Linked DNA regions of Oryctolagus cuniculus. The protein of the gene in region 2 interacts with the protein of the main gene of each other region in a biochemical or structural test. Links are inferred from orthologs where the notes say so. Each region holds a gene or a part of one and is shown on either strand. Other genes may lie near its edges.

What was found.
Region 1: the proteins of GJD2 (region 2) and LNX2 form a complex in vitro, tested with the Homo sapiens proteins (2 studies listed by BioGRID and IntAct, with this or other methods). The link is inferred for Oryctolagus cuniculus from reciprocal best matches to the Homo sapiens genes GJD2 and LNX2.
Region 3: the proteins of GJD2 (region 2) and LNX1 form a complex in vitro, tested with the Homo sapiens proteins (2 studies listed by BioGRID and IntAct, with this or other methods). The link is inferred for Oryctolagus cuniculus from reciprocal best matches to the Homo sapiens genes GJD2 and LNX1.

Annotation. Positions count from the first base shown.
Region 1 is NC_091440.1:86,986,553-86,996,763, forward strand, and holds the end of LNX2 (ligand of Numb protein X 2), read left to right. Parts: coding exon 1-230; intron 231-3,398; coding exon 3,399-3,557; intron 3,558-5,282; coding exon 5,283-5,418; 3' UTR 5,419-7,491; downstream 7,492-10,211.
Region 2 is NC_091443.1:57,650,869-57,661,655, forward strand, and holds GJD2 (gap junction delta-2 protein), read right to left. Parts: upstream 7,143-10,787; 5' UTR 7,082-7,142; coding exon 7,011-7,081; intron 5,976-7,010; coding exon 5,081-5,975; 3' UTR 3,683-5,080; downstream 1-3,682. UniProt on the Homo sapiens protein: One gap junction consists of a cluster of closely packed pairs of transmembrane channels, the connexons, through which materials of low MW diffuse from one cell to a neighboring cell.
Region 3 is NC_091439.1:110,327,320-110,338,258, reverse strand, and holds the start of LNX1 (E3 ubiquitin-protein ligase LNX), read right to left. Parts: upstream 5,160-10,939; 5' UTR 5,020-5,159; intron 1-5,019.

The DNA.
Region 1 (10,211 bases), on a different chromosome or scaffold from region 2:
GACGTGTTGCTGAACATCAACGGCATCGACCTGACCAACCTGAGTCACAGCGAGGCCGTTGCAATGCTGAAGGCCAGCGCCGCCTCCCCTGCTGTGGCCCTGAAAGCGCTTGAGGTCCAGGTGGTGGAGGAGCCGGCCCAGAGCTCCGAAGAGCAGCCCAGCACCTTCAGTGAGAACGAGTATGATGCCAGCTGGTCCCCGTCTTGGGTCATGTGGCTCGGCCTTCCGAGGTACTCACAGCTGTCCTGTTGTCTCGCAGATTAATCCTAATTGCAGTTTTGATCAGCACAGCCACTTGACCCATTCTGACCAAAAGCCTTTAGTTTGGTAAAAACAGCAACATCATGTCAAATCACAAAAGCAAGAAGTCATTCTTCGGGTGTTAGAGTTAATAAAAATACAGCTTCAAAGACATACCTGTTTATAAAGATGTAATTCTTTACATTCCTATTAGGGAATGTAACGTAATCTTTTCCCTTCCTCTTAGGGACCTCACCGGGTAGCCATGAGGTTGCCTACCCAGAAAAGCTGTCGTTTACCGGCATTGATTTTGAAATATACTTAGACGGCACACTCAGTTTTCTCCAGAAGAACCAAGCCAGTACTTAGGGCCTTGCCCCATCTTACAGACCTCTCTAAAAGCTCTTTTGAACTCTCCCTAAGAAGTTTTTGCTGGGCACGTGTGTCTCAAAGCCAAACCGTTGGTATTCAAGAGCAGCTGTTCCACCATTATAAGGAGCTCACTGCTCCCATCAGTGCCTAAGAAGACAATGTGCAGCTCATTGACTCCGGGGAGCCCAGCAGCAGGTGGGGGGCCTCCAGCCGCCTCCCTGGCTGCACACTCCTCTCCAGGCTGTTGTGTTATCTGGTGTTGAGACAGGTAGAATGTGTGTCACACTTACTATTTCATTCCAGATCAGTTTCAATTGTCACTGTATGTAGCAGTCCTAAAACTGAACTCTGAACTGTGACTTCTAGGCTGACAATTGCTGATTTCTTTAAAATAAAAATAGGCAATAAGAATGCACCAGGTTCTGAGTCATTTGACTTATGTGGAATAAATTTAAAGTAATAACTAGCATTTATGTAGTACATGATGGCTTATATAGTACTTTTCATATAAAGAACCACAGAGAAAAGCAAGGATATTATTGGCTCTTGTTTGTTGATAGCCTGAATTATCTCTGAGTTAAAAATAAAGGGCAGATGTTGGGCCTGGTGGTGACAGATACCTGCATCCCATAGCAGAGTGCCTAGGCTTAATGGTCCTCACCTGTTGTGCCAGTCTAACTGTGGCATCAGCACACACACACTGACTGCTGTGCGCACAGCATCTCCTGGTATAGCAGGCAGAATAGCCAAGGTTTCAGGAGAGACGCACAGAATAGTAAAATCTATTTTTTAAGTCAACCATACAGAAAAAAAAAAATACCTGTCAATAAAAGGCTGCGTGCTGTGGCTTTTCCAAGGTCTCTGTTGTAGGCAAACCCATGTTCAGCAGCCATGGGTCCTCCCCTGGGGAGCAGGTGGCTGCCCCAGGAGTGGTTTCAGCTCTGCCTTCCTGGAAAGGGAGATTTCTACTGCAGACTGCTGGGGGGTGCACCAGGGAACTGCTGGCTTGGTTGCTGTAGAAGAGGCAGAATAATGAAACTAACCTACACTGCCTCTAGCAATCCAGGCCAGCTCATAAGCCTCGCTGCATCCCCTTTCTAAGAGCCCTTTCTTTCCAGGGACCTGGGAGACAAGACCAGGCTGGAACTCGTGGTGGGTTATGTATCACTTTCCAGAATCAGCTTGCTTGCTTTCTTTCTTAAAGATTTTATTTATTTATTTATTTGAGAGGTAGAGTTACAGACAGAGGGAGAAACAGAGAGAAAGGTCTTCCATCTGCTGGTTTACTCCACAAATAGCTGCAACAGCCAGAGCTCTGCCAATCTGAAGCCAGGAGTCAGTAGCTTCTTCCAGGTCTCCCATGCAGGTGCAGGGGCCCAAGGACTTGAGCCATCTTCTGCTGTCTTCCCAGGCCATAGCAGAGAGCCGGATCCAAAGAGGAGAAGCTAGGACTAGAACCAGCGCCCATATGGGATGCCAGCGGTGCAGGCAGAAGCTTAGCCTGCTAGACCACAGCACTGGTCCCCAGAGTCAGCTTTCTTAAAACACCTGTTAAGGGGTTAAGAACAGAACACCTATAGGCCCAAGATCAAATTTCACCTGAAACTGAGGATATTTATTTACCATAGGTTCCTCCTCTGTATCATTTAGATGGGGTTCTTTGCTTAAGTTTCTACTTGCTACTTGTTCCCGGGTCCATAAAGCTATGGGAGCATGAGTGGATTTGATTTTATTTCTCCCTCCCTGCACAGTGTCCTCCTGGCAGTAGCTTGGAGTAGCAAATCAATGGCATGATGTAGAAAAGAAGGGAAAACCAGATATGTTTTGTTAGTGTTTTCCAGGTTGAGCCCCCTGTTTTGGCAAGTAGAGTCTCCCTTAAAACAAAAGCATTGCAGGTGAAGGAGGAATGAACAGTAAGTAACTCCCGTCTAGACTAAAGGTGGACCCTGCGGTGTGCCTGCCACAAAGGGGGAAACATATCTCACACCCTTCTGGAAGCTACATCTCTGGTCATTTTCTTTCATTTGAGCGCTGAAATCAGCAGTCCTGGGACCCCTCTGTACCATGTCATTACTCTTGTAGATAGCAATGTGTGTTAGAATTGAAGACTTTGTCCACAATGCAGTGAGCAAACATAGGCACAGAAGCTTTTGTGCAGAGTTTTGAGTTATAATTGGTAACCAAGTTGATTTAGGCACCTCTGTAGATGTGTTTGTATGTATGTTTTCACTTGGGGAGACTAAAGAGTTGGAGAAATTCATGTCTACCTAGGACTGCATCTGTACTTTCTGGAAAGGAGGTTGTCAAAATTGTATATTCAGAGGGCAATAAAGGATCTTTTTTTCCTTCCATCAAGAGTGGTGAGTGTATGGGGCCAGCATTGTGGTGGAGAGGGTTACACCGCCTCCTTCAATACCGGCATCCCATAGGGTGCCCGTTCAAGTCCAGCTGCTCCACTTCCATTCCAGCACCTTGCTAATGCTCCTGGGAAAGCAGCAGAGGATGGCCCAAGTGCTTGGGCCCCTGCACCCAGAGGAGGCTCCTGGCTCCTGGCTTCTGCCTGGCCCAGCTCTGGCTGTTGGCAGCCATTTGGGGAGTGAACCAGCAGATGGGGGATCCCTCTGTCTCTCTCCTTCTCTGTCTCTGTAACTCTGCCTTTCAAATGAATAAAGTAAATCTTAAAAAAAAAAAAATGCGGCAAGTGTAGCATGGTAGAGGTATAGCAAGGGTGATCTGGCTGTAATAGCCTCACGTTTGTTTTTCTTCATTTTTGTGTTTGTCTGTAGTGCCCTTCACAGCAGCCATGATATAGTTCTACGAAGAAGCTACTTGGGAAGCTGGGGATTTAGTATCGTTGGTGGCTATGAGGAGAACCACACCAATCAGCCTTTCTTCATTAAAACCATTGTCCTGGGAACCCCTGCTTACTATGATGGAAGACTGAAGTGAGTGTCGCGCTAGTGAAGGATCGATTGTTGTCTGTTGTGCCAGACGCGGTCTAGACCAGGGGCAGTACCGCGCGAAGCCCTGTCGTCGATTTCTATAGATAAACCGTTAGTGCTACCCACACGTGCTCATTTGTGGCCTCGTCTGTGACTGCTTGCGCACCCCAGCGGCAGAGTCGAGTCCTCGTGCCAGACACTGTGCAGTTTGCAGCACCTAAAACTTACCATCGGGCCCTCAACGGGGAAAAATTTGCCAGCCCCTGATCTAAGCTGAAGTTTCTCTTTCCCATCTTGTCTCTGTCCATCGCTGACGGGACCTGGGCCTGTGTCCTTCAGACGCATTCTGATCGGGCAGCCCGCTCGAGTCAGGTGCAGGCCTGTCATCATGACTCTGCTTTACGTTCCTCCGCAGCGCTCCTCTCTGCCTGACAGCGTGTTTACCCAAGCCCCGTGAGGGTGGGATTCTGTGGCTGTATTGTTCTGTCCTCAGCAGTCTGACTGTGCTTTGCTTAGAGTAAGAACTCAATAAATCTTGGGTGGACAAATGTGCAGAGGCTTCCAGTATGCCAGGCCCAGCGCTAAGTGCTGTGCGGGCGTTATTTAATCTTCTTAACAACAACCCTGTGAGGTTAGTGTCATTACTATTCCTGCTTTTCAGACTCGATAACTGAGGCTTGTCCAGGATCAAGTGGCTGAAAGTGGCTGGCTGGCACACAGACCAGGCCGTCTGGCCCCAGCGCCTGGCCTCAGCCCTCTGCTAACTGCCGCCACCGGGCAGAAGGCACTTGTCCTGCCAGCCACAGCCACTTTTCTTTTCCAAAGCTTGGGCACTAGGAGAAGAAAGAGAAGGTGCCAAGAAAATGCCTCCACCAGGGGAAGAGGCTGTGTGTTAGCTTCTTAACGGCCTCGATTCTGATGGAAGAAGCGGCTCTTAAGAAGGAGACACTGACGTGCTGGACGGAATCCTGCACAGCTAGAGCACTACCTGTCCTCCAAGAGAAAGTGGCCCCACACACTGCTGTGACAAGTCAGGCAGGAGCCGTGAGCTCCAGGCCAGTCTCCACTGGTAAAGGTGAAACATCTTCTCAGTCTAGGAAGAGTAGGGGAACACTGAGCTGCTCCTCTTAGCTGTGCTGCTCAGCCAGGCCTGGATCAGTTTGTCAGTGTACATTCTGCCCACTTCCGAAAAGAAATTAAAGTCGATACCACTGAAACGGCATCTTCGTTCACGTTACAAACTGAAGACCAGAACTCCTAAGGCTACATAGGATCATTACAGCCATAAGGCTAGAAGGATCCTCGGATTCACCATCCATCTATGGTCATGCTGCTTAGAAGGCATTGAGTGCCATTAGCTGGAAGAAGAGGAAGTGCGGGTCTTATTCTCAGTTTAGTTCCACTCTTGGATGTGTGAGCTCTGAGGACAAAAACAGAAATACAGTCAGAACAATAGCCAGTTCCCTTCAAGTGCATTATTCGTTGTTTCTTTAAAAGAGGGAAATTATTCTGCATGTGCTTAAGATGTCACCTGCCAGTTATGGGAGTAGATGGCCCAAGGGGCGCAGGTTGGTTGGCAAGGGGAAGCCAGCATGGGCCTCAGAATCGCCCCAGATGGCTCTCACAATAAGTGACATTGCAGTTTTCACCCTAAGCAAATCTCAACCGGGATAATGTTTTTAATGCCATGGAAATGGTAACGTTCTGTTTCTGTCTGTCTTTGTCCAGGTGTGGAGACATGATCGTGGCCGTGAACGGCCTGTCCACCGTGGGCATGAGCCACTCTGCATTGGTTCCCATGTTGAAGGAACAGAGGAACAAAGTCACCCTGACAGTTATTTGTTGGCCTGGCAGCCTTGTATAGGTCTTGGAAATCGGTTGCCAGCCTTGCTTGCATCTTCCTTTTTCAGGTTTTTGAAAAAAAACCTTTTGGTTTCGTTGTGTGTCTGGTTCCGCACTACTGGCACAGCTGGTACACACGGGGCCAGAACCCACCGTGATTGTCCTTCTGTTTGTACTTCAATCATTTCTGTTAGCTCCGAAGCAGTCTTCCACTCACCCTTATGAGCTTGTTTTGTTTTTTTTTTTAATTCAGACAATCAGTTGTTTAAAAATATTACTTACAGTAGTGAATGAAGCCCCCTCGAACTGTGACCCGGCGAGCTGATGAAAGAATTTCTGGTGGCTCGGTCTTCAGTACCGAGTCACACAACAAGTTACATATCCCAGGACAGGCCTGCCGTGAGTGCATGCCTTTCAAATACGCGTGATAACCATTTGCCATTTTTCATCAGTGCCAACATTTCAGAACTTCATCCTGTTTATAATTTCTCTGGTATGTGTTATTCCTACTTTAATCTCTCAGTACTTAGAGATGATGCAGACGTAAGTCTGATACCACTAAATAGACTTTAAAACAAAAATAGGGAACTATTATTAGAATAGTAGAGAATAAAAGATGTTATCCAATGACAAAGGAATTTAGAAGGTAATGATAGTTTAGTGCTGGAGATGGAGAAAAGCTGTGTTTACTTGAATAGTCCCCAAGCATTAAAGATTTACTTCCAAAGGAACATTTTGCTATGTGGGAAAAGTTTGAAGCAGTTTTTGCTAAAAATCATTTCTAGGGTTTGTGTTATACTCACCAGCAATCTTGGCTGGACATGTTTTTGTGATTCATGTAATTAAGCTAGATGATAAAGCTAAAACCATATTGCTGTTAAATATACAAACATATATCGCAGCTAAGTAGAAAGGAGACCTCTTTATTTTACTCAGATAAGAGTCTTTCTTGAGTGTCTTAGAAACCTTTATATTTCCTATTATTTCTTATGAGCCTAATTGTTTCAAACAAGAGTCAAAGCAGTTCTGTTTTTTCTCTGAAATTGTAGATTTTAGATGTTAATGTCTTTGAATCAGCTATTGGTCACTAGACTATTTCATATTTTTTTAAATACTATTGAAATCTATGGCCTATTTTGTTTGTCTTTATTCAATATGGTTGTCCTTTGGAGAACACATAAAGGAGTGAATAAGAAAAATTTTTCACCTTCTTAATAATTATGCATACTTGAAAAAAATGTTTCCCTTAGAAACCTAGTTCAGAATCTGAGCTAATTTACAAGTGACCTCTGTAATAAATGGTATTGATCATCAGAGAATGTATTTGAGAATACTACCGTGTATTATGAAGCATGAACACTTTATCTTCAGACTTAGCAACTGCATTGCTGGGGTTAATTGTATCCGTAGCATGTCACTCACTGATTATTACAGTTTTTATAATGACTTTTTAAAACATATGTCTTTGGAATAAATAAGAAATTAGCGACAGTAATTGCTACCGACCTTGATCCCTTAGTTGTGCTATATGGTCAGCCCGTGACCAAGAGACAGTGGAGTGCCCATACAGTATATTACTGTTATGTGATGACTGGCTTTTGAAGCTATTGAATATTGCAGTGCTCTGATGTTCTAATGGACACGGAACAAGATTTCTTTCTGCTCCCCAAATGGAATTTTGTAAACAATTTTGCTATTTTTTTAAGCTGTTTATAAAGATGTGTCATTTCTTAGGGAGGGGCTGTCCATCAACAAATATCATTACTACTACTTACATTCAACCTGGTGGTATAGTGTTTTGAAAGAAGACTTTTTTTCATTGTTTTTAATCATGGAAATCTTGGAATCAGCTTCAGTGTCTAGATATTACAACAGAAGACTACAGCTTTTGGTAAGAATGATACTTGGTGACGGAAGCTTGTTCGTAATTTATTATTACTATTAAAGTACTTGGATTTTTCTCACTCTCTCACAGTTAAATATTTTGATTTGTCCTGTGCCTTCAGTTTAAATTATTTCAGGATTTTTCAGATGTGTTTAAACAATGTTGTGATAATCGTTCAGGATGGAAATAAAAGTCATCCTTTCTGTAAAAGTGACCCTTTCTCCCTTCTTAGAAGACAGCAGATGTTAACTCAACTTCGGATCCTCAGGACCACAAACGCACCTGCGTGTTCTCATTCCCGTAGGCAGGACCCAGAGAAGCTACTGGCATGCGGGATTTTTACCAGCACAGCACCTGTGGGCCGGCGGTGTACAGTGTCCGTGGCTGCTGAGCACCTGCAATGTGACCAGGGCTCGATGTTGGGCCCACAGAGTCCACCATCAGAGTTTAACTTCACCAGTCGCTCCTTACGTATTCCGATGTGGCTCTGGAACATTTCTTCATAACGCCTGATCCCTTCTTTGGTAATCCAACCTGTCTTCCATTTGTCCAGAGTTGTTGATAAGCCAGGCCACCAGCATAGACTGCTGCCCCGCTCACAGACCAGCAGTTCATGAACTGAGTTTTTTTTTTTTTTTCCTTCTCTGCTGGGGGAAGGGAAGGTTTCAGCCCCTGGGGGTCCTTAGTAGGTAGCTCTTTTCGCCATTTTCTAGTGTAAATCTGTTCCATTTAACCGCACTGCCAATTAATTTCTATGGCAACACAAGCTCTTCAGAAGGCAAGTTGTGCATGTATGTGTAATACCTAATATCTACAAAGTGCCTGAAATAAGAGAGGCTAGAACTTGAATGACATGCAAGCATAAAAGACTAGCGTGGGCGCTGCGTTGGAGAAGCAGTGCATCGCGGGTGGCAGAGAGCGTGCCCTCTCCCAGGAGAAGGTTGGCTCAGCCCAGGGTGTGGCTGACTGGGAAACACTGGGAGATTGTCCACCTGAGTTCTCCTAACACCCACAAACATCACTTTGAAGACGGGCTGTTTCACACACTTGGGTCAGTGCTCACCGTGCTCCTTGAATCCAGCCAACCACAACCCCCTTCTGAGGTTTCCCGAAGACTGACCAAAACGGTCAAGTTAGAAACGTCTGTTGCTTAGACTGGGGGAAGAGGAGCGGCCATTGTCCAGTGTCCTGCTTGTAATGGTGGGGCAGCTGTTAAAGATTTTATTACCTTTGCCCAGATTTTATTGGAAATTTAAATCTACAACCTACTCTGCAACTAATCTGAGGCTGTCTCAGGTCGTCGACTCGTGCCTGAGCCTCCCCACCAGCAGACTTCCCAGGGGAGTTACACTCCAGCGCGGGTTTGTAGGGTGGCCCTTCTCTGTTCCCATTCCTTCCCCGGGGCGCGGGCCCTCAGGGTGAGGGCTCAGCTCCTTGCCAGGCCTCCCAACAGCCCTGGACCAGACACCTACTCCTGAGGTCTAGCTTGTGCTAAGCTAAATGGGCACCAGAGGAGGGTGGGGGGTGCTCACTGCCACAAAACTTACTCTGAACAAAATCAGTAAACGTTTGAGGAAGAGGAGATCACGCCACCTCTCCTGTCACTTCGAAAGATGGGATGTCCTGGTGTCATCCGAGTCCCTACACCCAATATAGTCATTTCCCCCGTGGATCCCAAATCAGAGCCGTGGAATTGGAAGTGCCTTATCCATCCTTCGGGTGTAGGGATCATTCTGTGACATGGGCATCTCTTGCTCGAATGCTTCCCACGACAGGGACCTCCCCACCTCATCCCATGCTTTTGTTCTGTTGGGGCGTGTATATTTGTAAGCGCTTGTGTTTTAGTAATGGTTTGTCCTATGCCCTCTCCCTGGCTTGAGTGTCGAGACTGGGAGGAAGACAATAGCTTCATTTATTACCTCTAATATTTAACTAAGAGGGATGCACGGTACACAAAACATTTCTTGATTCCTCTTTTTGTTCCACAAATATGTACTGGGCCTCGACTATGAGTGTGCGCCAGGCACTGCTTGAAGGGGCTCAGAATCCACCAGTTCCCAAGGGAGTTGTTGCTGCCTCTGTGCTTACATTGTAAAGAGGGGACGTAATCAAGGCTAAGAAGGAAGAAACGTAATCTCTCACGGGATAAATGGAGGGAAGAAAACCAAGCAGGTAAACGAGGAAGGGAGGTGGGGAGGAACCATGCGGAGGACGAGGGCAGAGAAGGGGCACTGAGGAAGCACTCTTACCTGTATGAGAAGAATGAGCCCTTGCTCAGTTGCTGTAAGTTCCCAGGAGTGTGGCTGACGCCCTGTGCTAACTGGTGGTGGGTAGTTATGGCTAGAACTCACTCCTGGGAATAATCACAGCAAGTGACATTAATTAAAACAACTTTTAGGGTGCCAGCGCCGTGGTGTAGTGGGTAAAGCCGCCGCCTGCAGTGCCAGCTTCTCATACAAGTGCCAGTTTGAGTCCCGGCTCCCGCATTTCCTATACAGCTCTCTGCTATGGCCTAGGAAAGCAGTGGAAGATGGCCCAAGGCCTTGGGCCCCTGCACCCACATGGGAGACCCAGAAGAAGCTCCTGGCTCCTGGCTTCAGATCGGCCTAGCTCCGGCTGTTGCAGCCATCTGGGGAGTGAACCAGTGGACGGAAGACCTCGCTCTGCCTCTGCCTCTCTGTAACTCTGCCTTTCAAATAAATAAATAAATCTTTAAAAAAAAAAAAAAAAAACTTTAGAGGGTGGATGTCTGGCCTAGCAACTGAGATACCATTTGGGACACCTGCATCCCATATGGGAACACCTGGGGTTGAGTTCCAGCTCTACTTAAAAGATTCCAGCTTCCTGCAGACCCTAAGAGGTAGCAGGTGATGGCTTCCTGCCACCCACATAGGAGACCTGGTTCTCAGCTTCAGCCTGGCACAGGTGGA
Region 2 (10,787 bases):
ACACACCTATGTACCAGAATGTAACAATCTTTTAAATGAACATAACCTTTGAGTAATCACACAGCCAATGCACCATGACCAACTGATTCTCAGAGCACAAGCTGGGATAAGATTTATAATTTACCCTTCAGCAGCCCTTATTTTAATTGTTTCCATCCAACCTGCAGGAGGTCTGGAAATGTCTAAGGCAAAAGATTGCCTGTGCTCTCTAGTTCTGCTTTCTTACTTCCCACTTACTCACCAAATATAGTAGATATTTTATGGCCCTTTATCCAGCTTTGATATAGCTCATTTATATAGTTAAATACTTAGGAAAATTGAGCACTAGTAACAGATTCTTCCTTGAGATTTCACCGTGCTGAACTTTATGATGCCAATTTTTTTCTTTTTCTTTTTTTTTTTTTAACTTATTTACTCATTTGAATGGCAGATATATCTTTCATCTCCTGGTTCACTCCCCCAAATGGCCATACCAGTCGGAGCTGGGTCAGGTTGAAGCCAGGAGCCTGAAACTCCAGTCTCCCACGTGGTGGCAGGTCCCAAACATTTAGGTCATCTTCTTCTGCTTTCCTAGTAACATTAGGATCAGAAATGGAGCATCTGGGATTTGAACTAGCGCTCAAATGGGATGCTGGTGTTGCAGGCAGTGGCTCAACCCACCATGCCACAATGTTGGCCCCACAATACCACTTTCTTTTTTTTTTTTTTTTTTTTTTTTTTTTTTTTTTTTTTTGACAGGCAGGGCGGACAGTGAGAGAGAGATACAGAGAGAAAGGTCTTCCTTTTTCCTTTGGTTCACCCCGCCAATGGCCGCTGCAGCTGGCAGCACCGTGGCTGGCGCACCACGCTGATCTGAAGCCTGGAGCCAGGTGCTTCTCCTGGTCTCCCATGCGGGTGCAGGGCTCAAGAACTCCCAGGCCACAGCAAAGAGCTGGATGCAAGAGGAGCAACCGGGACAGAATCCGGCGCCCCAACCGGGACTAGAACCCGGGGTGCTGGCGCTGCAGGTGGGGAATTAGCCTACTGAGCCACGGTGCCGGCCTGCAACACCACTTTCTAGACTTTCTTTGCTAGTTGGCTCTTCTCAGCTTTTATCCTGGGCTCCTCCTCTTCTCTCCACTTTAGTCTCTTTCCTTGGTCACCCCCTCTTTTGGCATGAATAATTCAACCACAGCTGCAACTTCCACTCCTAGCACCCTAAAAGTTGGTGTTAGTGTTCCTTACAGAGCTTGTTATCAGTAACTTCAAAAATGATTTAAACATGGGCAACTCTACCTGGATAGTCTCATATTTCTCTTTTCTGCCTTTAATAATTTCTCCTCCAAACACCTGGTTCTTATAATATTAAGCTAATGTTTCTAAATTTATAGTTCGGAACCCTAGGAATGGGGGAAATTAAAAATACTGATATCTTCCCACTTAAGACACACCTATTCCACATGGGAAGAACTGGGTTCAATCCCCAGCTCTGGTTCATGACTCCAGTTTCTTGCTAATGCAGATTCTGTGTTTAGCTTTAATACATCTAAGTCCATGAGACCATTCCTAGACGGAAGACAGAGGGACACATCTCTCTGGCAGCAACTGAAACAATAACCATAAATTTCCCATGTGGTTACAATGGATAAGGCATAGTTCTTGCACCTAAAACAAACCACACTGTTATCCAGAAATGCCTCATAAAAACCCAGAAAGTAACAGGAAAGGCGATTTTTATGAAACTCCAGAGCAGGGCACCAAATTATCTCAGAGTAGAATTTAGATTGGGTTCCTGTGTGAAGGAACACCACCCTGATTTTAATGGGTAGAGAGGAGCATGCCCAGTGAAAGGAAGTGGTGAGATGGATATTTTCTGCCTAAGAAGCAAAAAAGAAACCCTGTTCTTTCTACTGCCTTGACTGTCCCCCCCTTGATTTTGAATCTAGTCATTTTCCTTGTTCACAGAATTCTTCAAGTACAGTTTCTATCCTTCATATTTAATACTTTAAATAGTTGAGGGCTTTAAAATGTAAAATTCTTTTCTTTCAGCTTTTCTTTTCTCAGGCTAAGGAATTTCATTCTTCCCAGCTAGTCTCTAGTTCATGCACTGTCACAAACTAAAACAAAGTACACACACACACACCACACACACACACAGGTGCACCTGATCATATACATGCACATGTATGTGCCCATACACAGGCCAAGAGGGTCTGCAGTTCACCAAGATACTCTCAAATTTAAAAGATTATATAGATGCTGTCCTCTCACAAAATACAGTTTAGGTCATATCCGTCACGTAGCTGCATGAGCCATCAAATCATCAGCTTGATTTCTTCATTAGATAGAAAGCAAATGAATCAAAGGCTGCCACTAATGTGAGGGGTGACTATACTCTGAGAGTGGGTGTGTTTCACACTCCATAAATGACAAGTGAATTAATAATCTTTCTATTTGTGAGTGTTTGGAAACATTAGAGAAATGAAATAGATGAGCCCCACAGATCTAGGATGCATTTCCACCAGGAAGCACTACTGTTCTAATTCTACATCAAGGCAGAAATACAACAGACCTTGTTTTCCACACAGATTCCTACTTCTTTCACACCCAAGCATATGCTAAGATCTCTCAAGCAACACTCTTCCTCCATCTCTAAGAGGTGTCTTCAAACATTTTTAGCTTACCAAACACAAAACAAAGGAGGAGCTGTTTCTTTTCTCAAGGACAATTATCTTCAGCTGCTTATTTATACTGCCAATGGAAGCCTATACATTGAAATAAACATATTTTCCTTCTAAAATTGGCATCCACATTGCCATTGTTTAAAGGGTGCAATGATTGTGTATTGAAAGTAATCATCCAGGAAATTCCACATTGCTGTGCAATGTTCAATCTGAGTGCTCACTGGAATCAGAGGATACCCATTAAAGAAGTGAGGAAGAACATTAGCCTGCTGAACTAATGAGACTACATCTCAGTGGAAAGTGCCAAAAATGGTAGTAAATGTTGTGACAAAAAAAATTCTTATGACATGTAAGTAAAGGACTAATCCCTTTTGAAGAACAAAATAAGAAATGATTGATTAGAAGTCTAGAACATGCCTGTAACACAGCATCAACTAAAGATATATCGTATTTAAATTAATTAAAATTGAACAAGAAGAAATTCAATTCTTCATTTGCACTACTCCATTTTAAAAGTTCAGCAGTTACATATGAGTAGTCATTGACTTAATGGAGCAACACAGAAGAAATTTTCACCATTTCATAGAGTTCTATGGGATTGTACTGATCTAGATGATTTTCTTTGACTACTGGGTTAATATCATGTTAAACATCAGGCTCTGAAGAGGTCTTGGGGGAAAAGAGCATGCTTGCCAAATATAACAACCCATGGCAGGAAAAATGTGGTGGAAAGGGAGGAAAATCCAATCCTAAAATGAGCCAATATGATACAGTATTGACATCTGTATTACAAGAAATATACTTAAACAAGCAGAGTAATGCAGAGCTAACATTGAAATGAGTTAGTAACCACCAACTACTGTTTGAATGCTTCATTATTCCCCTCTCTTCATCCTGAGTGGCTAGTTGGATTTTATTGATCATCAAATATTGTTCCTTTATCATTCACTTCCTACCCCCATTCTTCTGCTGCTATAATATTTTTGAACATTTATTTAAATAAATAGGACCTCAGTCAAAATAGAAAAGTTCAGACTCTTCCCATTTTACAAAAAAGGCAAGAACTTTATTTTAAATAAATTTTCAGTTGTATATTACATCATGTTCATGTCTAAATCAAAATGATAATGATAATTTAAAGAAACCAGAGGGATTCATAAAAGCACATTATCCAAATATTACTCTTGGCCAATGCTTTAACTAAATACACAGTGGATGTGGAAGGTACATATGGCACTTAAATAAATAAGAGCAAAGAGAAGGAATCATATTCACAGTCCAAAGCAATAGGTTTTTGAACCTTTGGTATATGTCTCATATAAGCATCCGTAAACACATGTTAGCCAATAGTGTTTAGATCCATGTTTTTTAGGCCAGTGATTGTGTATATGTTTCAAAAATAATAAATAATAAATCAGGATTGACATGGGCTGATTAAGGTCTCTGGTGTGAGCACACAGGTAAATTCAAACCATGGCAAAATGATGTGCAGGTGTGTTTCACAACATAACTATATAAGAAAATGAGTGAGATACACCAGTTAGAAATTCTGTGGCTCAGGCAGACAACCTCGATATTAACAAAAAATATATTTTTTAAAAGTCCACAAGCTGGAAGGCAGAAATATCCTGAAGCTCACAACCACATGCCTAATAGTGCAACAACCATCTCACAGAAGTTGCATATTGTAATTCCCTCCCTCCCACCCATCCCCACCCTATTAAACAGCACCAGTGCAGTTTGAGTTTAAAAACTGGAAATAATGAGACATTCCTAAGGTTTTCATAATGACTATGGGCCAGTCATATGGGGCTCAAATGAAAACCTTTGCCATGGCCACTCTTCAAAAAGCACCCCATGTAATTCCTTCTAGCTTGCAGATAAACCATATTAGGTCTAATGTAAGGCCAGATTCAGGAAAAAAAAGCTGGCATGCTGTCCTGGGTTGAGGAAAAGGGACATGCTAATGGAGAGATACATAAAGGATCCTCAAGAATGTTTGTCCTGCAGCCCAGGATACAGGGATAAGTGTTGAAATAGCTCACAAATTTTGTATCAATGAAGTGTTTGACTCCCACCATTCACCAGGATACAGAGCTCAGCAGAGCTCAGGCCTACATGGTAGCTGTGCAACTTCATAGTTGTCAAGTTCAGGATGGCCCATAAAAGAAGAGGGACCAAAGAAATCCAATTCACCCATCTCATCCCAGTACCCAACTGTCTCTGTGGCAACAGGGATGTGCCACATGATATTGGTTCTGCTGTTTCTGCTATCCTATTGATGCAAGATCTTCTCTTAATGAGTCTTAGGTATGCTACATCTTGATGGTGAGAGTCACATACATGAGGGCAGATATAGTCACCCTTAAACAGTCATCTGCTTTGAGGCTACTTGCTATTCCCCAGGCCTTCCCCTTTCACACATAAGCAGAGTCACTGGACTGAGTCCTGCCAAAATTGGGAACACTGACCCGGGGCAGGTCCTTGTTACGGATCTCATAGACTGACTTCCTCTTGGCCTGGGCCCCTCGCACAGCCAGCTTGATTTTGCGCCATCCCAGGTGGTTGAGTTCAGCCAGGTTGAGTACAACACAGATGCCACTCACAGCAAACATGAACACTAGAAAGACGGTCTTCTCAGTGGGCCGGGACACATAACATTCCACCTCCTTGATGCAGGGGTAGCGGTTACACTCATACAAGCCTGGGACGCTGAAGCCATAGAGAAAGTATTGGCCCACCAGAAACCCAATCTCCAGGGCATTTCGGAACACCACTTGGATAATGTAGAAACGGGAGATGCCTTCCTGCCTTCGAAGCTTGGATTTTGCTGCAGTGCGCATCCCTGATGGGTGTGGAGTCAACTCCTTAACCTCTAAACAATCTGGCTCTGTCTCCTTGCTGGGGTTCTCTGGGTTCTGCAGCACCCCATTGACAATGGCATTTTGCAACTTCTTATCTTCTCGTTTCCCCCCACCACTTCCCCCACCTCCGGTTCCTCCAGGACCCCCCATGGAGTCTGGAGGGTCTCTGTCCAGGGATAGAAAGACAGTAGAGTAACGGCGTTCTCGCTGTTTGGCAGACTGGTGCACAGAGTAAGTGATAAAGCAGAGGCTGGGGGTACACACCATTATGATCTGGAAGACCCAGTAACGTATGTGGGAGATGGGGAAGGCGCGGTCATAGCAGGCTTGGTTACAGCCGGGCTGCAAGGTGTTGCACACAAACATGGTCTGCTCATCATCGTACACCGTCTCCCCCACAATGGCCACAATGAGGATCCGGAAGATCACCACCACAGTCAACAGGATCCTGAGAAGGGGAAGAGGGAGGGAGAGAGGTTCTCACCGGCTGCGTCACTGGTAGGAAACCCCTGCTCCTCCTTTCTCTGGTCTGGTGATCACCAGTCCTTTAACAGGGGAGCTGTCCATCCCTGTGTGGTACTGAACTGGGAAACAGGAAACGATTTTGACTCTTCCTTATATCCTGGGTGCTACTGAGCTGAGAACTCTTCAAAATTACAAGGATCCCAGCCATACTCATCACCATACACTGGAGATGATCTATTTGCAACACACAGACTTCATCCTTATCTGTGGGATGCATAGAGACACCAAATACACATTCACTTTGGATTTGGCAAATTCATACAGAATATCTGAACAGATAGTGTATGTTTCAGTTACTACAGTGTGTGTATATAACTATTCCATGTGTATATTTTAATCTAATCTCAATATGAATATTTAACTTTATGATATGTAGAAACGGATAGCCATGAATATTTGTTCATATATATATGCATGAATATATGTATGAAAATAGATATGGACCGAGATATAGACACACAAAACTGTCAGTTGTATGTGTAGATTCCTGCAACTATATTTTAACTAAAATATCAGTTTTGTTTAATAACTGTTGGGAAAACATGCACCTGCTCTGAAGAGCAAATCCATCTCCCCATTAGCCCTTCTCTGTCCAAATGCAATCCTGCCTTCTTTGTAGATGCTATTTAGAGAACCGGATGGAGATTGGCTCTGACTCTCGAGAGTGGGGGACCAAGATTGATCCAACAATTCCTTTTCTGATAAGGGAAGAATGAACCACCTCCCCCAGGGTGCTTTACAGGGAAGGGATTGGGGAACCTAGTCGGAGTAGCTGGAGAAGGGTGGAATCTCTAGGCATCGGGTAATCCTTCAATGCCGGGAACACAGGTGCATGGACCCATAATGATGAGGAAGAGGCAGAGCACGGCCTGGGAGCTGTGGGGGTTCTGTCTCGACTGAGGAGGGGTTCCCAGGGGCCGCCCGACGGGCCCGCGGACGGCTGGTTTGGCGTCCTTACCTCCCGATCATAGTGGAGTGCTGCTGCACCGCTGCTTCCAGCAGCCTCTCCAAGATGGTCCATTCCCCCATCGCTGTGCATCCGGAGGCAGCAGACAAAGACTGGGCAGCACCGGGCACGCTCTCGCTGCTCCTGGCCCCTCCCCGGGGCCGCACCTCCCGACCGGGAGAGAATTGCCCCCCAATTTAAAAAGCAAACAAATTTTTTAAAAATCCACGATCCCTCTCCCTTTTGTTTGTACTTAAAAGAGGGAAATGGGGAAAGAAATCCAAGTGCGTCCCGACTGATGGGGCAATTAGTGCGGTTCGGAGAGCGGGCACGAACCTGCCGCACCGTCTGAGGGTCGGGTCTGGGTCCCGCAGTGGCCGGGACGAGGGGCTGGGCGGGGCTGGCAGCTTGCAGGTCCAAGAACACTCGCCCGCTCGAGACAGGTCTCTCTGGGAGCCGCTGGGCACCAAAGGTTAGGGGGCTGCGGGAGGGTCCCGGCACCGGCCCCCGCGCCTGCCACTTCCGCAGGCACCTGGCACTCCCGCGCTGCGCCTGTGAGGCCCGGGCTGAACGCGCCGAGCTGCCTGCCGGGTTGGGGAATCCGCGGCCGCCGCCTCTAATCCGCCCTTAAGTAGTCTCCGCCTGCGTCACGCCAGGTCGGCGGAGGGGAGCCGAGCGCCGCGTGCGGCTGTCGCTGCGCGTCGGAGCCCGAGGGGCCGGGGACGCGCGCGGGGGGGAGAGGGGCAGGAGTCCCGGGGCCCGGCGGGGAGTGGGGCGACTTCGAGAGGAAGCGCTGCAGCGCCCCTTAGGGCTCCTCGGGGCGCCCAGGTAACCTCACCTGACCGCCACCCCCCTGCAGGAGGAGGGGAAACCCGGAGCAGACGCGTGGGTGAGTAGGGAGGGACGCGAGTGGGTAGTTTTCTTCTCCCCGTGTGTTCCCTCACCTTTCGCTTTCTGCCTTCGGGGAGACCACTGCAGTTCTTTCTCTAGACGGAGAGTCTGGGCGGGGGTGGGGGGGCGCTCTTAAATCTGCCTTGAAAAGGACAACGTGGCTGAGAGTGAGGCTGTGGTTCCGCGTCTCCGTGGTGGGTCGGATGCCGGATGCTGGGCTGAGAAGGCTGGAAGAGAGTCCATTTTGGCTGCAGAGTAAATGCAGGTGCGAAGCTGCTGGAGGCTGGGGTCTAGCTGCAAGCGTGTACCTAACAGGTGCCTGGCAGTGAGTTCGTGCGGTGGCTATAGTTGAAGCCTCGCTCCCTCTCGCTCCCGAGGTGCAAACACGGATGCTGTGCAAGTTTTACTTTTATTTATTTGTTACTAATTGGAGGAGGGGTACTTTTCAGGTAATCCACAATGGTTGGGATTTAAGGAGACCCAGTATTCTGTCAGCAGAAACTGGACTCTCATCCCCACCCCACCTCCACCGCCTTATCTGTCTTGGCCTTCTCTGATTCTGGTTTCTGATTTTAAAATTACCCATTTGTTGTCAGTTCTGTCTAGAGAAACTACCTAATTAGTTACTGGAAAATTGAAAGAATCACACCAGGCTGTTAATTAGCTCAGAGGTCAGTATTAAGGAGTCTCCATAATCAGGAGTGGTTCAAAAAAAAAAAAAAAGTTTGGAAATCACAAGGGATTGAGATTGTCATCCTTTTAGAAATATAAGTGGGAAAGAGTTGGTGGCTCATTTTAGGCATAAAACAAGCTTAAATACCCATGGGGATTATAGTTATTACATAAGCCGTACCTTGGTGAGCCTTCAGTTCTAGAACAATTGACATGGTTGGGTGGCTGGTGGCCCAGGGATTGGGAAGACAGGTGCAGAGCCTGGCTTGTTGCATAAAGTTGTGTTTAAAGACATGACCCAAGCTTCCTCGGCATCAGAGGGATTACTGAGATCCCCTCCTAGCAGCTTTTCATGGCAAAAGGGTAGACAAGTTCACTAAAAAATGGGGAAAGCTATAAGGTGTAAAGGGCACATTAGGACTAAGGCAGGTACTACTTGGTGTTCGTTTGGGTAGTGAGGAGGTGCCTGGTGGAGATGAATGGATCTCCTAGTATCCATTTGGCTTTTACCTGGAATGACGATTCCCCAACTCAATCTCTGTGTTTCCCTAGGCTTCTTTCCTGCTCCCTAAGGTCTTGAGTCAGTATTTGCTTCTTTTCTGGAAGACACTTTTTGCATAAAGGATCTTAGACAAGGAGTAAATGATTGAAAAAGCTCTAAAGGAACTCCGTGTAATATTTTTAAATATCCCCGAATCAGCTGCACAACTCACAATTGTGTTCTATCCTCTGGCTTTCTCAAACCCTTAATGATAGTAATCCTAAAGACAGAGATTATAGGAAATACATTTCAAAAGTTTTCAAGCACTGGGCTATTACTGAATTGTCAACCATTCACTTATTTTTTTAAAGATTAATTTTATTTATTTGAAAGAGTTACAGAAAGAGGTAGAGACAGAGAGGTCTTCCATCTGATGGTTCACTCTCCAAATGATGGCAACGGCCAGAGCTGAGCTGATCCAAAGCCAGGAGCCAGGAGCTTCTTCCCGGTCTCCCACAAGGGTGCAGGGGCCCAAAGAGTTGGGTCATCTTCTACTGCTTTCCCAGGCCATAGCAGAGAGCTGGATCGGAAGTGGAGCAGCCGGGACTTGAACCAGCGTCCATATGGGATCCCGGCACTGCAGGTCGCGGCTTTAACCCGCTGCACCACAGCACCAGCCTCCACTTATTATTTTGAAGTACACTTTAATATTCCAGATAGATTCATCACACAGACACATGTATACAATGTCGGTGTATAAATGCACAGAAGGCCGGCGCCGTGGCTCACTAGGCTAATCCTCTGCCAGGTTCTAGTCCCGGTCGGGGTGCTGGATTCTGTCCCGGTTGCTCCTCTTCCAGTCCAGCTCTCTGCTGTGGCCTGGGAGTGCAGTGGAGGATGGCCCAGGTCCTTGGGCCCTGCACCCACATGGGAGACCAGGAGAAGCACCTGGCTCCCGGCTTCGGATCAGCGCAGTGCGCCGGCCACAGTGCGCCAGCTGCAGCGGCCATTGGGGGGTGAACCAACGGCAAAGGAAGACCTTTCTCTCTGTCTCTCACTGTCTAACTTTGCCTGTCAAAATAAATAAATAAAAAATGTACAGAAATATTTGTACACAAAACCTATATTTTAAGACTCATCTACGAAACTAGGTCACCTGTTTTTTAAATCAAAACTTTATTCTCACCACCACAGTTTGAAAACAATTTTTCATTTTAAATAATCATTCCCAAGTTGTTTTACATTTACTATACTGTGCTTCCTCTTTTGAACTCAGTCAACTAACTCTACTGCCAATTGATAATTCTCCCTCACAGTGCTGCATTAGATGTGAAAATATTCCAGGTGGACCTGGTCATCTCTGAGTTTCCTCAGGGTGTCATCTCATCTTCCTAGGTTCTGACGATTTCAAGTCGTCTCTTGTTGAAAATACCTCTTGATGTCAACTGGGAAGTTCTTTCTTATAGCACCTATTTAAAGCCCGCTTCACTCTATTATTTTTGAATCAATAGAGTGCAGATCTCATAAAACGCTCATAGAACAAACTTTGCTGTACATTAGAACATCTAGAGATGTTCACTTAAAAATACAGATGCTGGGATCCCATTCTAAGCCTGCCAAATTAAAAATCTATAGAAGTGAAGTTTAAGTACCTACATTATTAATAAGTTCTTATCAGTGGTTCTGATAAAAATGCAAATTTGAAAACTGTTACTTCCATGAATATTAGGGCAGGAAGGAATTCT
Region 3 (10,939 bases), on a different chromosome or scaffold from region 2:
GGGGAGACCACCCCAGTGAGCACCCAGCACTGCTCAGCACGGGGAGACCACCCCAGTGAGGCACCCAGCACTGCTCAACGTGGCTTAGGGAGCAGTGTTTCCAGGGGGCAGGCACTTGCTTAGGGATCACAGTTCTGCCCAAGGCTGAACATATAATCATTTGCTTTCAATCCATGAATAAGTCAGAATAACAAACATCTTTAGAGACAACTGGTAAACCAGATCGACAAAAGCCTCCAGGAGGAAGGAGCCACAGGTCGGACGGCTGAGTGTGTGTGTATAGAGGAAGCCGTGACATAGGCATGACCGTGATACCTAACGAGGAGCTTGCAAACACAAGGTGACTCACTGCTTGAGGCCGAGTGTGTGACGTTCTTTTCCGAAAGGGCCATGTGACTGACAACAGCAGTCATAGGCGAGTTATGCAAATCATCTAAACAGACAGCACTGGCATTCTTAGGTCTCAGCATCACCGTGCACTTGCCAAGAGGCGATTACAGCAAATGCTTGGAGCGCTTCCACTCTGCTGCCGGCACAGCCTTTCGTGTCCCTGTGACCAACGCATCAGACACAAGAAGCAAACAAGAGTCACTGGGGAATCATGGTGGAATTTAAGTCCACGCATTCCAAGTCGCAAATTAGCGATGCTACAGAAACAATGTCACTGGCTAATTGGGATGGAACCTATTAGCGCTGTTGGAGGAACGTGAGACAAGGACGGCAGCTCCCCAGGGCGGGGAAGTGGAGGAAGAGCCAGCGATGGCCACAGGCACTGCGGTTTGCAGGCCATCTTGTCTACCCCCAGCCCGAAGCAAGCATTTCTTCTCTCCCTTCTGAATCAGAACAGACCAGACAAGGAAAACTGCCCGTGTTGTTATGCAATAAGTATGCAAAAAGTTTGTTCCTTGGCGTGTGTTTCACATTTAACCTCCAAAGCCATCCTGAGGTCAGTAGTGCAACTGCCGTTTCCCAGCCGCCTGCCTACAGGTGATGCTGGAGAAATACGAATCCTCTAGGTCACTCACTCATTCACTCATTCATTCATTCACCCGCCCCAAACGCAAACGAGGCACTACATGGACTCAGTGTGCCCCAAAGAGCCCAGCTGCAGTGGCAAGGTCTGAGTGCCCCGGAGGCCACCTCTGGCACTCGTGGCAATGCTAATCCATAGAACGTTCTTCCCCGTAGGGAGCCGAAGTGCCTGTGAAGGTAACCAGCAGGGCGCAGTGGTGCCCGCACGGCACACAGAGCACAAGGAGCCACCGGCGAATGCAGGAGGGCTGCAGGAGACAGCACGTGCCTACAGGAGACAGGTACGGCATGCGCCTACAGGACACGGCCCGCATCCTCTCCTCCCGGTTCAGCTCCATGCAGGTTCCTGGCTCTGCGGCTCGCAGTGTTTTCCCGCCTACCCTTAGTCTTTGGGGACAGGAAATGCTTGAACCTCACTAACCCGGGCAGAATGATGCTGTCTTCCCCGCAAATCGTTTTGAAGAGGCCCTGTCAGAGGACAATGGCTTCGCTGCCCACATAAAAGTGTGCGTGTGGCTTGCTGGCCCGGGGCACCAGGCAGAGTCCCACCCGCTGGGGCAGCGAGCAGGCCTGGGGTGGGGGGAGAGCCCTCCACCCGGCAGGCTTATTCTCTCCACGTCCAGCGAGGGCTGCCAATTAAAAAGGGGCTCCTTTTGGCCACAGGCAGGCGTTGTGTCTGGTGTGAAGGCAGGGGTCACGGCTCCTGGGAGATCCACTGTTTCTCACAACCCAGCCCCACGGCCCGCACGACTGCAGAGACCAGGCTCGCGCTGGCAGCTCCCTGGCCTGGAGCTCCACGGTGATCAAGACCACCTCTGCCAGGCGGTTCCCCACCAGGCCGCTGCCGCCTTCAGGCAAACCTGCTTTGCTCAGTCTTTCGACCTTGACTTCCCACCACGTCTATCATTGCTGCGCGCGGACGGACGTGGACGGACGCCGGGTCGCCATACCCAGGGTGAAGCTGTTTCCCGCAATAATTTAACAAGGCCAACACTGGCGGAGCACGCACTACGGAGCAGGCACTCAGGAGACAAGACCGCGGTTCTCTGGCCTGTCATTCAGTGAACCCCACGAACATTTCCTTGGGGGGCTCATCCGCCCCTCAGGGTGGTCCGGCGGGTGCAGCCCACCCAGCTGCCTCTGGGGAGGACCCAGCACATCGTCGTTGCAAGAAAACCGACGGCAGGGAGGCTGAAGATTCTCTCTGCGGTGACCTAAGCAGCGACAGGTTCAAGGTCAGAAGCCACGGCCTCAATCCACTAGGCCTCTCTCCCACCTGCCCCCCTATTTTTAATTATTCACTGCGTTTATCTGAAAGGCAGAGAGACAAAGAGAGATAACTTCCTCCCCACCCAGCAATGGATGGTCCATTGCCCAAATGCCTACAACAGCTGAGCTGGGCCAGGCCCAAGCCAGGAGCCGGGAACTCAATCCGGGTCTCTCATGGGAGTGCAGGGACCCAGGTGCTTGAACCCTCATTGGCTGCCTCCCGGGGTGCGCATTAGCAGGAAGCCAGCTGGGAAGCAGAGTCAGGATTTGGGCCAGGGACTCTGATAGGGACGTGGGCATCACAAGTGTTCTTAGCCACTGTGCCAAACGCTCCAAATGCTGGCCATCTGTGTTATCCTTTTCGGGTAAGGTGAGACCAGGAAGGGCCGCAGGGCCCTGGGAACACACCTGCTCCTATGCAGTGACTCGGGGTCTCCGAGGGGCACAGGGTATTCCATTCAGGGCAATCATGTCCAACTGACCCACACACTGCCCTGCCATGACATGGGGCAGGCCCCAAACCAGCTGCCCTCCGCGCCAGTGGCTTTGGCACCATTGCGTCCCAGGCTGGGGTGAAGGGGGCTTGCCCACGAGACTGGAGAGGGCCCCCGAGAGACGGAGGGGTCTCCTGCCGAGTCAGCCTTGGCGAAGGCCACAGAACAGTGCGCAGCCCCCCCCCCCCAGCCAGGCCTGCCGAGAACCCCGTTCTGTGGGACTGCGACAGGTGGGAACCTTGGGGTGGACAAAGTCAGCCGTGGCCCCACTGCCTCCCGCCTCCTGGTTACTTTCAACCGATCACAACAACCGGAGGGAAGGGTCAGGCTCCCGAACAGTCGCAGCAGCCACCGGAGATCTCGCATCTTGGGAGGGGCTGACCACCTCCTTCAGGCCACCCTCGGGCCGGAGGCTCCACCCTCCCTGGGTGCCCGCTCAGCCACAGGCATAGGTCACTGGGAAGCCTGCACATGGGTGTGACCTAATTCCTTTCTCAGGACCACGCTCGGTCACAGTATCTCCTGTCTTTCTGATGACGTCACTGATGGTCAGTGACGTCCCCCACTCAAGGACTGTTCAATCCCTGTCCGTGGCAGGCTTTATATCCACTTGAACCAAGGTGTGTGGCCACCATGGGGACTCCGGACAGCGCTCGCGTGCAAAGCAGCCCAAAGGTGCCGAGCCCTAGGGTCATCCTGACTCGGAATCCCACTCTGTCACTTTGGCTTTGTAGGGGACCAAGCCTGCACAGCTCTGTCCTGTTCTGAGCCAGAGACGCTGACAGGTAGCAGTGGAAGGATCCTTTGGTCATAAATTGACTCCCACAAAAAGAATCGACCAACCACGGCAAAGCACAGGAAATAGCTCCAGAAACACGTTTTTATCAGGAAGATTCTGGATCCGGGGGCCTTTCTCTGACGGCAGAGTTCCGAATCAAATAAGAATTTCAGTAACAGACCGGCAGCAGCCACTCCCCAAACACATACAAGTCACAGGCGCAAAGCTCAGTGAAGGAAGAGCCGTGGGAGCTTCCTAGGGGCAAGAGAGACAGTGGCAAGGAGAGCAGGCGGTAAGAAGCAGCCGTCTAGGGCAGAACTTTTCTCGGCTCGTTCCAGTTCATACTCCTGGAGAATTTACATGCATTTTTGCATTTCTGGGCAACGCGTAGGAGCGTAATTCCAACAGAGTGTTCCTCGCAGCTGCTAACTTAAGTTTCAAAGTCAGCCCATGAGGATTCCGGAATGAGGTGGACTTCACTCTCCCCAACTTCCCAGCTCACCGCAGTCGGAAGGGGCGTTTGGAAATACTTCCTATCATTCCTGCAACAGCACGGGACGGGCAGTGTGGCTGCCAGGCTGCCCAGCGTGCAAGCAGCCCAGGTCGTGTGACCGGAATGAAGAAAACAAATACGGACCCCAGAGATAAAATGACCTTAAGCAATGTCTTGGCAGAGCGACCTTCTTGCTGTGTTTGCAATTAAAAGAAAAGGCAAAAGAGAAAAAAGCAGGAGCGTCCCCCCAAATTAAAACTCAGACCTAAAGTTCTGTTGCGGTGGCCCCGAGGGAACAGCTTTACGTGAGCCAGCAGTCAGCAGGCACCAGCCCGGCTCTGGATGTGAACAATCCCAGGACAGTCTGCAAGGTGGTTCCTAAGAGGGCCTTCAACAGAGAGCAAAGAGAATGCTCCAACATTCTGAAGAGGAAAGAGGAAGGGAGACTGGTGGCCGGGGCAGGGACCTGAGCAGACTTTTGGAAGGACACAAGCAAAGATCTCGGCACGAGATCCACATCGCCTCGGTGTGACGAATGCAGGCAGCAAGATAAAACAAGAACAAAAGAGCAAGAGCCGGACCGCTCTGAACGCCCTCCTCCCGGCTCCCCTCCCCCCCCCCCCAACGGGCTGAACAGGTCCGCGCCTTGCAGCCAGGTTTCAAAGATGTCTCCCTCTGCTCCCCTCCCTCGGTTGTAAAAAATCAGATCAACGTCACAGACGAGCTGGCGGGGCTGGACCAGTGGTTAGGCCAGACTGAGCGGATCAAGTGTCAGGCCAGGGACGGCTTCACCGCGCAGGTAGAATGTCAAGGCATCCGTCCACTCTCGGCTGTCCAGAGACTCACTCCGCCGGGGCCCAGGGCCAGGGCCAAGCCAATCAGCTCCCATTTCCCATTCAAACGCCTCCTTCCGTCCCCTGGTGGTCCACACGCCAAGAGAGAGCTCCACTCACCTTGTCCAGCTCTGACTCGGGGCTCCCAGAGAAGCGGCAGCCAGGAAGCTCTCGTCCCGCCTGGGTGGACAGAGGAGCTGCTTGGGCCGCCTGAACTGTGACCAGCCTCAACTTCAGCGTACAGGTGCCTGGGGGAAGGAGGAGGCCATTGGTTGGCCCGGAGCAGGAAATGTGTGACGTCACGGAAGCCCGGGCAGATAAAGCATTGCAGAGACCTTAGCGACTGCAGGAGTCAGTAGGTCCCGCCCACCTGTCATTTACCTGAATACCTGGGAGCTGGTAGGTGGCGTCTTTCCGCGGACAAATGAATCAGTTAGAGCAATTTGCCAGGCGGAATTTACTTTCCTTTCTGCGTCCGGCACGTGTCCAGCCCCGTGTACAGATCTGAATGCCTGTACCTGGTCATTCCTTCGGCTCCTCCCCCTGGCACTTCCTGGCTGCCTGGCACCCAGGCATCCGAAGGGGAGCTGAAACCTCGAAATGAGGCAGCGATTTGGTGGGTGCAGAGAGCACCAGTTTGCGAAGATCGAGTGCTTAGAAATATCTGCAGTCCACCCCCTCAACACACTCTCCCCATGCCCTTCTGAGTGGCGTCCACCTGGCTCTCTGGACAAGCTGGAGGCGACGAACAAAACCACTTTCCAGAAACCTCAGCACGACCCCCGCCTCTCCAAACACATTCTGCGTCGCACGCTCGGGCATCTGAATCCGGCCGTCTGGAATCTGCGCAGCGCCCGGCATTCCCACCTGCGCTGGCCTGCCAGCTCGAGTCACCGATGAGCCACCCACCATGGGCGCGCAATTAGCAGCGCCCGGTGACTCAGGTGCCAGCGCCAGCGCAGGAATGCGGCCGTGCCGCGGGGGCCAGGCAGGAGCGCTCCGGAGCGCGGGGCGCGACCCTGGCCCGGGGCTGGGTTGCGGCGCCTGCAGCCGGACTCCGAGGTCGCCCGCAGCCCGCAGACACGTGCTCCCCCCTTGAAGAAAGCAAGCGTGGGAGTTCCCCGTCCTGCTGCTCGGGGGCTCGGGGGTCCGGCCGGTTGGCGGATTGGCTGGGGTGGCACCTGCCGCCGCGCCGGCTCCCTCCCCCGGCCGCCCCGCGCGCGCTCAGAGGACAGCCCGGAGCTTTTCAAATAGGCACAAAGAACTTCTTTCTTCCCGACTTTGCCCAGTGGAACTAACGTAGGTGTGGCTGCCCCTGCGTGATTTAAAAACAAACAAAAAAAAGCAGGCGTTTCAGGAAAAAGCATGGGCCCACCCGTCCGTACGGAGCTGAGAATCCAAAGGTTGCCTTGCTCAGATATGGGTCTCAGAGGGGCAGGGCCGGCCGCCCAGCCGGCGACCCTGCACGAGGCCCCGCCCCACGCGCTGTCAGTCACGCCTCACCTGGGGCCCAGGGCGCTGGGCACACCTGGGAGGGCGGCGCCTGGGACTGGATTTGCGGAAAGGGACGGAGCCTCAGTGGGGCCTCCCCTGCTGGTTTCCCCTGCACAGCCGCTGCCCGTGTGGTCTGGTGAAGAAACCACAACAGAAGGTAGACCAGAGTGGAGCAACCGGAGACAGGGCGGAAAGCCAGGGGAGCTCCTGGACTTGGCATAATCCCCAAGGGGTAAGCAGAGGTGAACATGGGCCTGGTGATGCCACTGGGGCCCCTGCAGGGTCGCGGCCCGTGTATTTCTAAACCATTGGCGGAAACGAGAGAAGAATCAGGGCCCCACAGTTAAGCTGTGTGCGTCCTGCATCTCGGCCTGGGTTTGATCCCCAGTTTCCTGCCGCTGAGGCCTTGGCAGGCAGCACTGATGGCCCCAGTGCCTGGGTCCCTGCCACATTCGCGGGGGGGGGGGGGGGGGGGGGCTGGGTTAAGGTCCTGGCCTCTGGCCTCAGCCTGACCCTGGCTCCCCAGCTTTTGTGGGGGCTCTCTCTGTGTGTCTCTCTCTGCCTCTTAAAAAAACATCCTGTGAACTGAATGGCTGGGTCCTCCCCACGTGTTGCTTGCTCTTCTGAGCACTTCGTGGGTGCTCCAAGGCAGGTCCTCCTGCTGTTTGCCCGCGGCAGCTCAGAGAACCCAGGCACAGAGAGGCCGAGGAGCTGCTGGAGACGGCTCAGCCAGCACGTGGTGGAGCAGAACGGGCTTCGCCACTGGCAAGAAAGGCGGGGAGGCTCCTGATTCCACACTGACCGGGCACCTTCCTGGCCAGCACTGCGGCTTCGCCGGGATCCGGTACTCGGAGGGGAGTGCCTGGGGTTGGGGGCAGAGGGTAGCTTCTGGGAAGGGAAGTCTCGGTGAATTAATGCGTAGCCTGGCTGATACATGGGGTTTATTTGTATGGAACAATTAGACCTAGCAGTGCACTTATGCCTACAGGTGTACTTCAGAAAAAATTCATGGAAAATGGAATTAGAAGAGAAGTTTATGTTGGTACAAAAATTGGAAATCCATATTTTTTTTAGATTTATTTATTTATTTAACAGGTAGAGTGACACACACACACAGAGAGAGAGAGAGAGAGAGAGAGAGAGAACTTCCATCCACTGATTCACTGCCCAAATACCCACAACAGCCAGAGTAAGTCAAGATGGAAGCCAGGAGCCTGGAGCTCCAACCAGGTCTCCCACATAAGTGCAGGGGCCCAAGCACTTGGCCCGTCCTCTGCTGCTTCCCCAGGTGCGTTAACAGGGAGCTGGATTGGAAGCAGAGCGGCCAGGACTGTATTCAGGGCTCTGATGAGGGGTGCCAGTGTCGTAAGAGGTGGGTACCCTGCTGTGCCACAAAGCCAACACGACGGAACTTTTTCATCACACACGTTTCCCATAAACTTTTTGAGGACACCTTATGTGCAGGCATTTCAAAATTTTTGCACCCAAGTAAACTTGAGTTCCATTGTCCATGAACTTTTTGAAGTACCCTCCTGTATCGGTGGCAAAACACACCACCAAACCCGTCACTCCTGTGCACTGGGATCATCCATTTGGGACCCATGGTGCCAGCAGAGAAAGGGGAGACCAGCTTGAGATGCCCCTTGAGAGAACTCCCTGTAGCCCCTTGCCTCTCTAGATCTGAAAATCTCCCCAGAACAGGCATCAGGATGTGGAACTGCGCTCAGCTGGATAAGGTGGGACAAAGTAACGCTAATTTCCACTATAAACCAGTGCAGGGCGTGGGCGGAGGCAGTAGTGATTAGGGCGTGGGGGGAGGCAGTGGTGATCAGAGCCGTGTGTGTCGGGAGGAGCCCGTGAGGGGTGGGGGACAGTGTGTGCACCCTGCTGGAGGGAGGGGCCCTCCGGGTGCAGAATTTGGATGGGCGACGTGGGACCAGGTCGCAAAGCACTTCAGGAGCCCCTAGGACAGACTGCTTCCCGCTGGCTGCTCGTCTTCTGCGGATTAATGGCTCACATGAGAGAGAGAGACACCCAGCGTCTGGGGCACGGGGTCGTCTCTGAAGGGTGACGGTGTGGTCCGCGTTGGGCCGCTCTTCCACGGTGTGCCGTGTCGGTGGCCACATGCTCTTCTCTGTCTCTCGGAATGAGCCTCCTCCATGGCCAGAATGTGCTGGAAGCTTTGTTCTCCGCAGAGACAGGCGGAACACATTAGCGAGCTCTCTGAAGTCAAGGTCGGGCCTGTGCTCCTTGGCCAGCCGGCCGCTCGGGCTTCTGGATTGGTTTGAAGTCTCTGTATCCGAAGCAGGAGGTCTGCTCTGCAAGCCATGAAGGCTGACACTCCCAAGGACCTCGCCTGGCAATGACCTCTTGCCTTGGCCGTGCCTTGCGGTCTGGGAGAATTACTCTGCCCCTTTTATGCTGCCTGTCCCCTCCCTCTCCATGACATATTTGTAGAGATGGGACAACAAAATCGACAGAGCTCATGTGATTTTCATAAAAGTTATGTCTAGAAAAAGCCTCTCTTGCTCTGATTTCGGGAGGTATTTTGCGCATGAGACAGAATTGCTGTAGACTGACACACGCCGTATTCAGGCATCAGTTCTGTGCGTCTCCCTCAAGCAGCTCAGCTGCGCGGTGCTCACAGCGAATCACAAGTGCTCTGCATGATGCGAATGAAGAGATTCCAGGAGAGTTGTGGGAAATGATAGTCACAATGAGATAACAGTTGACGTGATGATGTCACCTGGCTCTGTGGGTGTGGGTGGGTTCCCCCCTCCTCCCTCCCTTCCTTTGATTTATTTGAAAGGCAGAGTTACAGAGAGAGGGAGAGAGAGAGAGATCGTTCATCTGCTGGTTCACTGCCCCCAACAGTCAGGACGGTCCAGGCTGAGCCAGGCCAAAGCCAGGAGCCTGGAACACCGTCTAGCTCTCCTACTTGGGTGCAGGGGCCCAAGCACTTTCCCAAGCTGCTCTCCCAGGCACATTAGCAAGGAGCTGGGTTGGAAGTGGAGCAGCTGGGACTTGAACCAGCATTCATATGGGATGCCGGCACTGCAGGCAGGGAGGGGTCAACCTGCTGTACCATAGCGCTGGCCAGAGACTCCACTTTTTTTTTTTTTAGATTTATTTATTTATTTGAAAGGTAGAGCTACAGGAAAAGAAGGAGAGAGAGAGAGAGAGAGAATCTTTCATCTACTGGTTCACTCTCCAGACACAATGGCCAGGGCTGTGCCAAGATAAAGCCAGGAGCCAGGAGCCTCCTCTGGGTCTCCCACGCCGGTGCAGGGGCCCAAGGACTTGGGCCATCTTCTACTGCTTTCCCAGGCCGTAGCAGGGAGCTGGATGGGAAGTGGAGCAGCCACTTTTCAATGCCTATGCTGTGTGGTTGGCAGAGCAGCTCCATGGGCACCCCTAGCTCAGGAGGAGATGCTGATGTAGCCTGGGGGCTGGGGGAGAGCAGACAGGAGGATGTGGGGGGGGAGTTAGCAGTGGCGGAAGGCGGCCCCCGTGCGGTCAAGGGTTCCCGCACAGGGCTGTGGCCAGCGCATCTCCCCTAGCAGAGCAAGAAGGAACCTTACTGTTGTCTCCATGTTTCACCTGGCCCACAGCATGGGGCCACGGATGTCGCCACGTGAGCTCCGTGCTGCCCCACGGTTGTCACGCTGTGTCTCTTTCTTGTGTCTTCCTCCGCCACTCCCTTAGCTGAGCCAGTTCCATAAATGGAAGATGTCAAGTGTCCCCGTGCTTGGTCCCTGGGGCCTGCTCCCGGGGGCTTCCCCATGCTGGGAGCCCCAGCAGTGTCAGCTCCCCGGCTACATCGACAGCAACGTTGCCCTCTGCTCCTCGCGAGCCAGCAAGTCTCAGGGCCACCCCTCAGGTCTCGTTAGCACCCAAAGTCTCCTGTCTGAGGATGTCGCCTTGTCACCGTCCTTGGCCATCTCCCTGCCGGTCTTCCCGCTCAGCCCCTCTGCCATTGTGTCCCTAAGCTCCTCTCCCTGGCCTGGCACCAGATGCTCTGCCCCGTCTGTGCCTGGCTGCCCACCAGGCTCACACACATCTCCTGACCCCTCCAGGCCCAGACCCTAGTGACAGCTTGTTAGAGGGGCATGGTCACCCCGTCCCTTAACCGCTCTGTCCCCCGGAGCCCACCTGTCCCATGGCTTTGCTGCTCCCCTTTCTGTCTGGGGAGTGAGCCCGAGCCCAGCTGCTCTGTGTTCAAGTCTCCTCAGGACAGGTGTCCCTGGGTGATGTTGCCATGATCACATCCACCCGTCCTGGGTAGCTCCTGGCTCATCCTCCAGTGTAGCTCTTACTATTTTTTAAAAAGATTTATTTTATGTATTATAAAGGCAGAGTGATGAGAGAGGGGGAAAAAAGAAATATTCCAGCCGCTGATTCACTCCCTAAATGACCACAATGGCTAGGCCCAGGTCAGGCTAGAGCCAGGAGCCTGGAGCAACCCATCTGGGTCTCCCATGGGAGTGGCAGGTGCGCCAGCACTTCAGCCATCCTCAGCCGCTTTCCCAGGCGCATCAGCAGGGAG